Regions from separate parts of the Mus musculus genome. Here region 1 is reported to be linked to region 2. Evidence: microRNA targets listed by miRTarBase, many of them from high-throughput screens and not tested one by one. Region 2 holds a microRNA gene; the other region holds the end of a gene's coding sequence.
The links. Region 2 holds the annotated microRNA mmu-miR-1190 (UCAGCUGAGGUUCCCCUCUGUC, at 1,934-1,955, opposite strand). A microRNA usually pairs through its seed, bases 2 to 8, with sites in the 3' UTR of a target mRNA and lowers its output. Matches are read on the target gene's strand: a 7mer-m8 pairs with bases 2 to 8, a 7mer-A1 pairs with bases 2 to 7 and ends in A, and an 8mer does both.

Region 1: the mRNA of Fam114a1 is a reported target of mmu-miR-1190. Seed matches in the 3' UTR shown: 7mer-m8 at 2,165-2,171.

The regions. Positions count from the first base shown.
Region 1 is chr5:65,039,639-65,045,015 of GRCm38, forward strand. Fam114a1 (family with sequence similarity 114, member A1) reads left to right here. Exons shown (of 14, transcript NM_026667.3): 14 at 986-2,263. The coding sequence ends at 1,102. Among named protein-coding and RNA genes, the nearest start is that of Gm32374, 22 kb to the left of the region's middle.
Region 2 is chr12:101,019,759-101,025,135 of GRCm38, forward strand. Mir1190 (microRNA 1190) reads right to left here and starts at 2,010; the gene lies at 1,915-2,010. It overlaps Ccdc88c (coiled-coil domain containing 88C), which reads right to left. Exons shown (of 30, transcript NM_026681.5): 3 at 2,536-2,644.

The DNA of each region.
Region 1 (5,377 bases), not on the chromosome of region 2:
TAATCAAGTGGTGGCAGCGAGTATCATTGCTTAGGACACAGTCTTGCAATGGACTCAACCATAAGGGGCAGGAACTGTAGGGACAAGCCCAGTGGAACAGACACAGCTAGTAGAAACCCTGGAAGGCAGAGGCAGGAGGATGGTGAGTTCAAGGCCAACACAAACTATATAGTGAGTTTCAGTCTCACTTCTTAGTCTCCCACCCCAGATCTCTGTCATGGCTGCCAGATTAAACATGTACATTAGCACATTAATTTAACATACTTGTGCACCACAAATATGGCACCCAATAATAAGCCGCTGGCCAATACCCATTCTAGATACCCTCCCTAAACTTCACTGGCCACTTTTACAGTGATCTCTCCAGGGCACTCTATGTGGAGCTTTCTGTAAATGGTTGTGGTTTAGACCCTAGCCTCTGTCCTGTGATTTCAGGACCACAGGGTTGACCTGAGAAAGGGATAGATAATACTGGCCATGCGGGGCCATGAGTCTACACATACTCATGTCCCTTAAAAGCCCATGGAAATGATTTGTCTCAATTTGAATGAGGGCCTTTTGTTAGCTCACATAGTTGAGATCTGGGCACACTCCATCCAAAAACATGTGCTTACATTTACTGCAAGTGCAGACATTCTGAGAATTCTATGATATTGTTGTGCTTCCTTCTCCTCGGAGGAAAAGGATGTTGTTAGGGCTGGAGAGATGGCTCAGCAGTTAAGAGCACTGGCTGCTCTTCCAGAGGACCAGAGTTCAATTCCCAGCAACCATATGGTGGCTCACAACCATCTGTAACGGGATCTGATTCCTCTACTTGTGTACATTAAGGCAGAGCATATATATATATATATATATATATATATATACAAGAGAAAGAGAGAGAGAGAGGAGAGAGAGAGGAGAGAGAATAAGAATGTTGCTATATGGTGACAGCCATCGAAACTGAACTATGAAAATACCCTCAGCTCTGTTTTCCTTCTTGCAGGGCTCCAATAGCACCACATATGTGCAGGACGCCCTCCAGCTGCTGCTCCCGGTACTGCAGGTCTCCCACATCCGCACCAGCTGTTTGAAAGCTACAGCCCAGCCAGATTGCAGCTAGTTCAATAGCAGGCCACATCTCTTCACTACATACCATTTAAAGGCAACGGACTTCTATGTCACTGGCCAGACCATTTGAGGACACTACAAGCAATTTTTGCACAGTTTTGAAAATACAGAGAGTTAAAATTTCTCTTAATGTATACTGTTTTATCAATAATTATGTTTTCTTTACATTAACTTAAACTTGTACTTGTTCTATTGAAGTTTTCCTTTAATTTGCAGTTCATTCACAAATATATCTGTTTTCCTGGTCAACCAGACTATATTTAGAAATTCATAGAGAGAACCTAGATTTTTGTTCAGCTTTGAAATGTCTACCTTTCTATGCCCTATTTTTCTCAAGCATGGCTTTAAATGAGTTCTTGTACTGAACTTCATTTAATTGCATAAACATCATAAGCAAAAATACCGCTACTTATTTGGTTTTAAAAGGGACATAAATATCTTTATAAATATCACTATGTAGACCAGGCTAGCCTAAAACTCACAAAGATCTGCCTGCCTCTGCCTCCCAAGAACTAGGACTAAAGGTGTGCACACGAAACCTGCCTGCCCTGAAGAAGTGTTTTAGTTTAGAGTGTTTGGTGGCAAAATTATAAAGCTGAGAATCATTTCAACAGAAAACTAAAGGGGTTTTAGCCAGGTAGAAACCCCGACCTGCATTTCAAAAATACCCACTAACCTGATCACACACATGGTAGAGGCAAAGGGTAGAAAGTCGTAAGTTGGCCAAGTGGGGTGCTGATCCAGGGAGATGCATCAGAGACCTTGCAGGGAGCAGTGGTACTGAACCTGGGCTCTTGTGAGATGCATCTGTTCTTTCCAGGCTGAGGTTCTCTGGCATGCTTCTGTTTGAGACCATCACTGACATCCCTACCAGTAGTGTCCAAAATAGTCATGCCCAGTGGCTTATCCCAGGGCAAATGATGCCTGCAGTCTTGAAAGGGAGAAAAATCCCTCCTTTGTTCCTGTGGTAGAAGCCACTGCGTCTGTCCCCTGTGGGCCAAGTAGATATCTGAATTCTCTCAGTAGCATTTTTGTGTGACTGTGTTTTGTTTTTTCAGCTGTATGTCTCCTGAAACAACCAAATAAAAACTCAAGAACAATGTATTTGCAACCTAGAAAAATTAAATCCGTAAAGGTGTGGCATTTCTCCTTTCGTGACCTCTGGAATGCTTCTGATGTTAAGTGTGGTGGTGATTAACTGTTGATCATATCACAGTCACCTCTGTGAATTCTATAATTCTTAAGTATAGAGCAGAAGAAATAATCTAGATTTATAGTTTTCACATCAGAGGGATTTGTACATTAACCAGAAATACGAAAGAAAAACAAATACCTCCAAGGCATTAGATTCTTGGACTTAGTCTCTCGGCTGTCAGTGCTGGGGCGGTGGCTCAGCAGGCAGTGTTGAGAAAGCGTAATGACCAGAGTTAGACTCCCCAGCATGGATGTAAAGTCTGTGCGCACACCTGTAATCCCAGCAGTGGGAGGTAGAGACAGGAGGATCACCGGCTAGCCAGTGTAACCAACTGATGAGCTCCAGGTTCAGTGAGTGTTATGGTTCATATATGCTCTGCCCAGGGAATGGCTCTATTAGAAGGTGTGGCCCTGTTGGAGTAGGGGTATCATTGTGGGTGTGGACTTTAAGACCCTCCTCCTAGCTGTCAGAACTCTCAGCTCCTCCTGCACCCTGCCTGCCTGGATTCAGCCATGTTCCCACCTTGATGATAATGGACTGAACCTCTGAACCTGTAAGCCAGCCCCAACTAAATGTTGTCCTTGTAAGAGTTGCCTTGGTCATGGTGTCTGCTCACAGCACTGAAACCCTAAGACAGTGAGAGACCTGGAGTCAAAAGAAAATGACAAGAAAAACAGTAGAGGAAAAGAGCCAAGGTACACTGTGGCCAACTCACGCGCCCACACAGGCACAAGGGCCTGCAGAAATATGTGTGCACACGACACACATACCTGAAAGAGGAGATCAAAACGCAAGGCATTGTAAGTCTGTAATACCAGCACTCTGGAGGCAAGGCAGAGAGATTAGAAGTTCAAGGTCATCTTCGGCCACATAGCAAGTTCAAGGCTAGGCTGGGCTACCTGAGGTCCCATCTTTAAAACACTACCTAGATGTTTGCTGTACATCTAGTGTACAGCAATAGAATTTTAATTATAAAACAAAGTTTAAACAACATTAAAAAAATAGATTTAAAGTAAGCGATATTATTGACATTTTATTTATTTATCTTTTAATGAAAAAAAAATCCAAGGTTGCCAAGTCGAGACATGAACTGAAACGATTCTGTGACCTATGACCTGTAAATTCAACTGTTTAAGAGAGAACAGTCATTGACTACAGACCCGTTGTCAGGGATTTCTCTCAGTCCTGGCTTCCACCATCACCTTGAAATAATTGCTGCTTTGCTTTGCTTTAAAACCTGTCAAAACACATGATCCAGACCTGGGGAAACGTGAATCTATTCCTGAATGAATGATTTAGCAGGCTTACTGTGGAACTTGGCTATTCCTTCAATAATACTTTACATAAACTGGGTTTATTGCACTGTACACAATTACCCTGAACAAGCAATGCCTGATTTTTGCATCAAGTACAACATAAATTCTGGTCTAAATAATGAATATAGCCCCAAGTCTGTGCCTTGTTAATTAAAAAATATCCAAAGCCTATTTCAAATTCTAAGTAAAAAGCATTCAAAAAAACATTGCTTCGGGGCACTGACACACACAGATGCAAAGGACAAACCGAGTCCCAGACCCGGAAGGACAGGCCTAAGTTGGCATTCTCGGCCCTGAGAACAGCAATGTGTGCTTTCTCTGGGTGGCATACACGGCTGGACACAAGCTCAGGGTTAAAGGAGCATGTGACTCACTGAAGCTGGGACCAAAGGAAGCCACACACACAAACAAAGAAACGGCACACTTCAGACACAGAGCAAGGGGGACCAGGAGTGTCTCCACACTTCTGTGTCCCGGCAGAAACATCATAAGGGAGGGACAAGTTCTTTGTTGGTAGATTTCAGCCGTCGTAATGGAGATGATAGAGTGAGACTGGACAGCTCATGGCTGCAGGGGGGCCTGTGGCGGAGACTGTTCACATCACCGCAGATCAGAGAGCTGAGAGTCCAATAGGATCTAGGACCATTTCAAAGGCCCACAATGACCGGTTTTCAACAACTAGCTCTTCCGTTCCTCACACCACACCTAAAGCTCCCAGGGCCTCAGGAAAATAAAAATAAAAAAAAATAATAAGGCACCACCAATTGGGGAACAAGCTTTCAAAACGAAGCCTGGGGTAGGGTGAGCACATTTCAGATTCAACCCATAAGAAAGAAACATCAGCCGGACGGTGTTGGTACACACCTTTAATCCCAGCACTTGGGAGGCAGAGGCAGGCGGATTTCTGAGTTCGAGGCCAGCCTGGTCTACAGAGTGAGTTCCAGGACAGCTAGGGCTACACAGAGAAACCCTGTCTCGAAAAAGAAAGAAAGAAAGAAAGGAAGGAAGGAAGGAAGGAAGGAAGGAAGGAAGGAAGGAAGGAAGGAAGGAAGGAAGAAAGAAAGAAAGAAAGAAAGAAAGAAAGAAAGAGAAAGAAAGAAAGAAAAAGAAAGAAAGAAAGAAAGAAAAAGAAAGAAAGAAAGAAAGATCAATAATGTGCTGGCTGAAGGAAAATACAAATTACCAGAAAAAGCCCCAGTGCAGGAAGCAAAGGCGTCCTTGAGAAAGAAATCAGCTGCTCTGAAGTGCTTACGATTCCAGAGACGCACCAGAGACGCACCAGAGACGCCCAGAGACGCCCAGAGACGCACCACAGACGCCCAGAGACGCACCAGAGACGCACCAGAGACGCACCAGAGACGCCCAGAGACGCACCAGAGACGCCCAGAGACGCCCAGAGACGCACCAGAGACGCACCAGAAACGCCCAGAGACGCCCAGAGACGCACCAGAGACGCCCAGAGACGCACCAGAGACGCACCAGAGACGCCCAGAGACGCACCAGAAACGCCCAGAGACGCACCAGAGACGCACCAGAGACGCACCAGAAACGCCCAGAGACGCACCAGAGACGCACCAGAGACACACCAGAGACGCCCAGAGACGCACCAGAGACGCACCAGAGACGCACCAGAGACGCCCAGAGACGCACCAGAGACGCCCAGAGACGCACCAGAGACGCCCAGAGACGCACCACAGACGCCCAGAGACACACCACAGACGCCCAGAGACGCACCAGAGACGCCCAGAGACGCACC
Region 2 (5,377 bases):
CTGACACATGCTAATCTAACACAAGTGCCAAAGGGCTGCCAGGCTTGCGATCTACGGCTTCTAGAGGTTAAAGGTCACACAAAGCAGAACTGGAAATGTAGCTCGGTCAGTACGATTGCCTAGCTAGGTCGACGGCAGCCCTTCCAGAGCACGGAGCTTGGGGGCTGCAGAGATAGCACAGCCATTAGGAGCACCAGCTCTGGCAGAGGACCCCAGTTCAATTCCCAGCACCCAAATGCTAACTCACAACGCTCTGTGACTTCACTTCGGCACCAGGCACGTATGTGATGCTTAGTCATACACGCAGGCAAGACAGCCATACATGGAAATAACACTTTTTAAAGGTATTTAAAAAACAAACAAACAAACAAACCCACCCTTTGCCCCACCACTGGGGTGACCCCTCTCCCTCCTGGCCGCCTCAGACAATGGAACATGCAAGAGCTGCTTCTTGCTTGGCTGGTTTTGAAGGGCAGTCTCACTGTGAGGCCTATGCTGTCCCCAAACTCTCTGTCTAGCCCAAGCCGGCACCAAGGCTGCTACCTCTCTAGCACTGAGATCACAAGCGTACACCACTGTGCCTGGCTAGGAACGGTAAGTGGGTCATTTCACCCCATTTTCTGGGCTACTTGCCAACAAGGGAAGCTGGAGAGTGGTTCCTTCGGAAAATGCCCATTGAAAACCCTCAAAAATAAGCTATAGTGTTTCATTGGAAGGGAAAAAGGCAGGATGTACAGTTATACGTATGGCATGCCCATAACAGCACAAAACAAAACCCATTCACTCAACCACCGGTAGGAAACACTACATGAGATGGGCAATTGTCCCCAGAGAGCTGAGCGCCACCTGCCTTCATGGCCCTTGTTTTTCAAGCTGTTTATACAGGCCAAGTAGTCTTCTAATATACGAACTGAATTTCTGCTCCCCCTAAATCAGAAGGAACAGACAGAACACTGTGCACAATGACGTGCCAGCCACTAATGCACACACATTGTAGCAGCTCTTTCCAAACTGGCGAGATGAGGGGGACAGTGACTGTCGCTCCCTGCAAGTGCTTGTGTGCACTGTGCTTAGCTGGGGCTAGACAGCGACCAGTGCCATCCCCACTCTCAAAGAGCTAAAAGAATGGAAAATGACAAGATCATCAGGTCCTCTTCCCCACCCCCAAGTCCTTCGGGGTCACCCAGTCCCTCCTTTGTGAGATAATTTCCCACTTGGAACTCGGCAGCAAACACCTCTCAGCGGTACACTGTCTCCAGTGGGTGATGAGGCCTTTCACCAAGCCCAGACCTGGTCCCTTACAGCTGCTAATCACCGGCAGCAGGGGACCCTCTGGGCCTTGGGGCCAAAGGTCAACCTGTTCCTCAGTAGCCACAGACTTAGTTGAGACAGGGTTTCGATCTGGGATCTAAGGCTCATCAATGAGGCTAGGCTGGCCACCAGTGAGTCTTAGGGATCCTCCATCTCTGCTGCCCCAGTTCTGGGGCTACAAGTGCCCACCGCCACGTCTGGATTCTTTTAAACATGGAGCGTGGGGATCAAACTCAGGTCTTCATGCTTGCACACCAAGTTATTTTACCAAATGTGCTAATCTAGGCCCCATTCTTTCTGTTTTGCATATGATGCATCTGTGGTAAGCTTGTATGTGTATGTGTGTTCTCATGTGTGGGAGTGTGTGCGTACAGGTGTGTCTGTGCATGTGCCATGGCCACACTTTTATGGTGTGTGTACACTTATACTGCTTACCTCCCCTGATGGGAGGACAGACATAATCATAACAGAATACCCTTCCCTCTCCCAACCCATTTCAAATCCAGACTGCAGAGAAGACAAGGGCCCTGCAACACTCATAGCCCTAGGCAGGGCCTGGGCCCAGTGCAGACCCAAGTCACAGGCAGTAGTAGTCTCTCAGCTGACTCAAGGCAGCATCCCAGACAGAGGGGAACCTCAGCTGACGGGGGAAGCATCAGGCCAGCAGAGACCTTCCCACGTCTGCAAAGGCCCCAGAGCTCACCAACACTCTCAGAGTGTCAGCCATGCTGACCCACCCGTACAGCTGGTCAAACACATCGAGCAGTGTGAAGTGGATCCTTCCCTCTGTAAACCCAGATTCCAGCAGGTCTGGAAACACAATGGTTCCATTCTTGGCCCCTGTAGCCTTTTTGTGGCTCTCTCTCTCTCTCTCCTCGAGTGGCTTTTGCACAAGAGCCACTAAGCCAGAGACATGGATCATGCACGTCTTCCAGAGAGTCCCCAAGTAAAACACAGAGAACAGGCTGTGAACCCAGGGCCTCCAGCCCTCATGGCATTCAGAATGAACCAATCAACGACGCAAGCCCCTTCCCCCTCTGAACTGACACACCCCAAGGCTAATGAAAAGCACCAAGGGCCACTTACTCTGGCTTCCTGTGGCAACCCACTCAAGGGGCCTCTGTACACCCACTTGAGGGACGTCTGCACACATGTGGAAACCCACTTAAAGGCCCCATCGCAGACGTGCAGGGACCCCTCCCTGGGCCAGCAAAGCAGCCTCACCTGGTAGTAGGTCTTGATGTTTCTCACCAGGATACTCAGGTTTTGGATGCGCAGGTTGACATCATTGTTGACATGCTTGTTGATGCGCTGATTGCTGGGCCTGGGGTCTCTAGATTAAGAAACAGAGTAAAATTCACACCTCAGGGCATTCACTGTACCTCCTTCCCCAGCAGGGGACCAGTGTTCAGTTTCGAGAGCCTCTTTACTCCCTTGATAACCATGAGGCTGTGACTCTGTAGTTCAAGTCAACGCCTAAGTCTGCCCACAGCTGTGCCAGACAAGTCACCTGTCACCTCTGCCGCCTCACTCAGGGCTCTGCCGCAGCACGCAGCCCTTTTCAATACTGTTCCCATTTCCACTGGTGGAAGCGCCAGGTGGGACACCCAAGTGTCGTCAATGCTGTGAAAACTGACATACAGATATATAAAAACCACTAACCTATCCTAAACTGTATCTTACCACTAAAAAGACAGGCAAAGAAACATATGTGAAATACCAAGAAAAGGATGGGCTGGAGAGATGGCTCAGCAGCTAAGAGCACCAGCTACTACTCTTCCAAGGGTCCTGGGTTCCATCCCAGCACCCACATGGCAGTCACAACCGACTGTAACTGTCATCCCATGGGATACCCTTTTTCCTAGTGTGCAAGCATATATGTAGACAAAACACCCATATACATAAAATAAATAAATAGATCTTTTTTAAAACGGAAAGAAAGAAAAATACAAAACAAGGGCCCTAGCCTGTTTGGTGACCTTCAGAGTCATGTTCCACTCAGTACAGGCCTTCCTGCCATCTGGATTAGGTTGGTCCTGCTCATGATCTACACTCCATGGATGCAATAGTGTCTTGACAGGCTGATGTCCAGGTCTAGGATAGGACTGGTGTGCCAGCAAATCGCACAAGAAAAGCTGAGTGTGGGAACGCCTCGAGCATCCTTTTCCAACCTCAGGTGAGACTGGGAAAAGGAACTAGCCCTCAGCTCAAGCCATGTACAGCCTGGCTCATCTACATGCAGGCCAGTTCCCGCAAATCCTCAGTGTGGGAAACGGCTGCCAAGAAGAGCAAAGTGGAGAGGGGAGCTCTGCTTTTCATAGCAAAGGCCTCCCTTCCATTCCACCCGCTCGCTCCCAAGGCACCACCACGGATAAAGGCAGGGAACTCAAAGCCCTTCTTCCCGGTTTTATCTATCAAAAGCCCTGTGATGATGAAGGCACAGCGCCTACTCGGAGCTGATGGGGAGCCATAGAAATAAATCTCAGGCCTCATTAACAGAAGATGGAGAAATAGAAGGGAAAGGCTCACACCTTGAACCATTTCGAATGTCACTGGAAGAACAACACAAGGCTCTTTTGTGATGCAAGCTGTTTAACAGTCAACCTTTGAGTAAATATTTGACATATGCTCTAGAGGCTCCGCACAGTGTCCGAAGCGTCTGAACCGTCTTCCCACAGCCCCTGACCTCTCACACTCATCTCACTGCCCCTCAAACAGCCACATCAGGCGACAACATTGTCCCCACTGCATGTTGGAGTCTGTCAAAACCGTATTTACATGTTCGTTTTCTTTTAGAGCCCTTTGTTACTAAGGAAATAAAGGTGAAGAACACTCCGGAAATCAACTTAGCAAAGAGGCAGCAGCACTCTGCATCTCAACTGTAAAGGCATTTGGCCACAGAAGTCTTCCTAGCATGACCAAGACAGGGGTTCCATGAAGGGACCCGCTGTGAGCAGAGCAGCGGTTTCACGGGGCCTAAGCCTAGCACATGAATCTGAGTGAAGCTGCAGGCTTTCCTAACTTACCGTTCTTGTTTTGGGGAAGTGGGGGGAATGAACCTGGGCTGCATGGATGCTGGGCAAGCACTCGCCACCGGCTACATCCCTAACCTTTTCTTTTTCTCTTCCTTCTTTTTACTTCTGAGACAGAGTCTCCTTAGGTGGCCCAGCTGGCCTTCAGCTTACAATGCTCCTCATGCCTAACTTTTAAAGTAACAGGATTGCAGGTGTTAGGAGACCCAACTGTTCCATCGTTATTTAAATCCTGGGTTTCTTTTCTCTTTGAGACAGAGTTTTATGTAGCCCAGGCTGCCTCAAACTTACTATATAACCGAGGACGGCCCTGCGCATCTCACCTTCCTGCCTCTCCTTCCTACCAGGATTCCAAGAGTGAACCCACCCACCCCGGCTATGTGTAATGCCAGGAATTGAACCCAGCGCTTTGAGAATAATACTAGGCATCCACCTGACTAACGGAGCCACACCTGCTGCTTCTAGATTTCATCTTCTCCAGAGGGGCCCCTGCAGGAGTATCAGGTACCCACCACATCAGTGTGCACCATGGACAGACACCTATTGGCAAAGGCTCTGCACATACCCGGGACCTGGGATGTGCAAGCCATATCTGCTTTTGTTTTCCCCAGGCATGGGAAGAAACAGCTAATTGAAGGAACACTGGAAAAGAACCCTGACATTAGTTTAGTTATATGACTAATTAGACTAATTATCATGATCATTAGTATTCCCTCAGTTAATAAGTCTCTCGGGGTAAAGAGCGTTTATTAGGAAATAAAACCAAAAGTTTTAGCCTTGCTTAAGGAAGGCAAACCTCATGTCTGCCTACTCAATGCCCCACACAGGCTGCTAGAAATGAGGGTCAGAGGCCCGGGGGTCACAAGGGTCTGAATAAGCCACAGGCTGACGGGAATTTGCCAAGTCAGCAGACAGAGCTCCTAGTCCACTGAGGCTCCTTCACGAGTGCAGATGCACACTACCATGATTATACAGATACACACATGACCCAGCCCTGCCTCACTCAGACTACACTAATGACACCCAGACTTTAA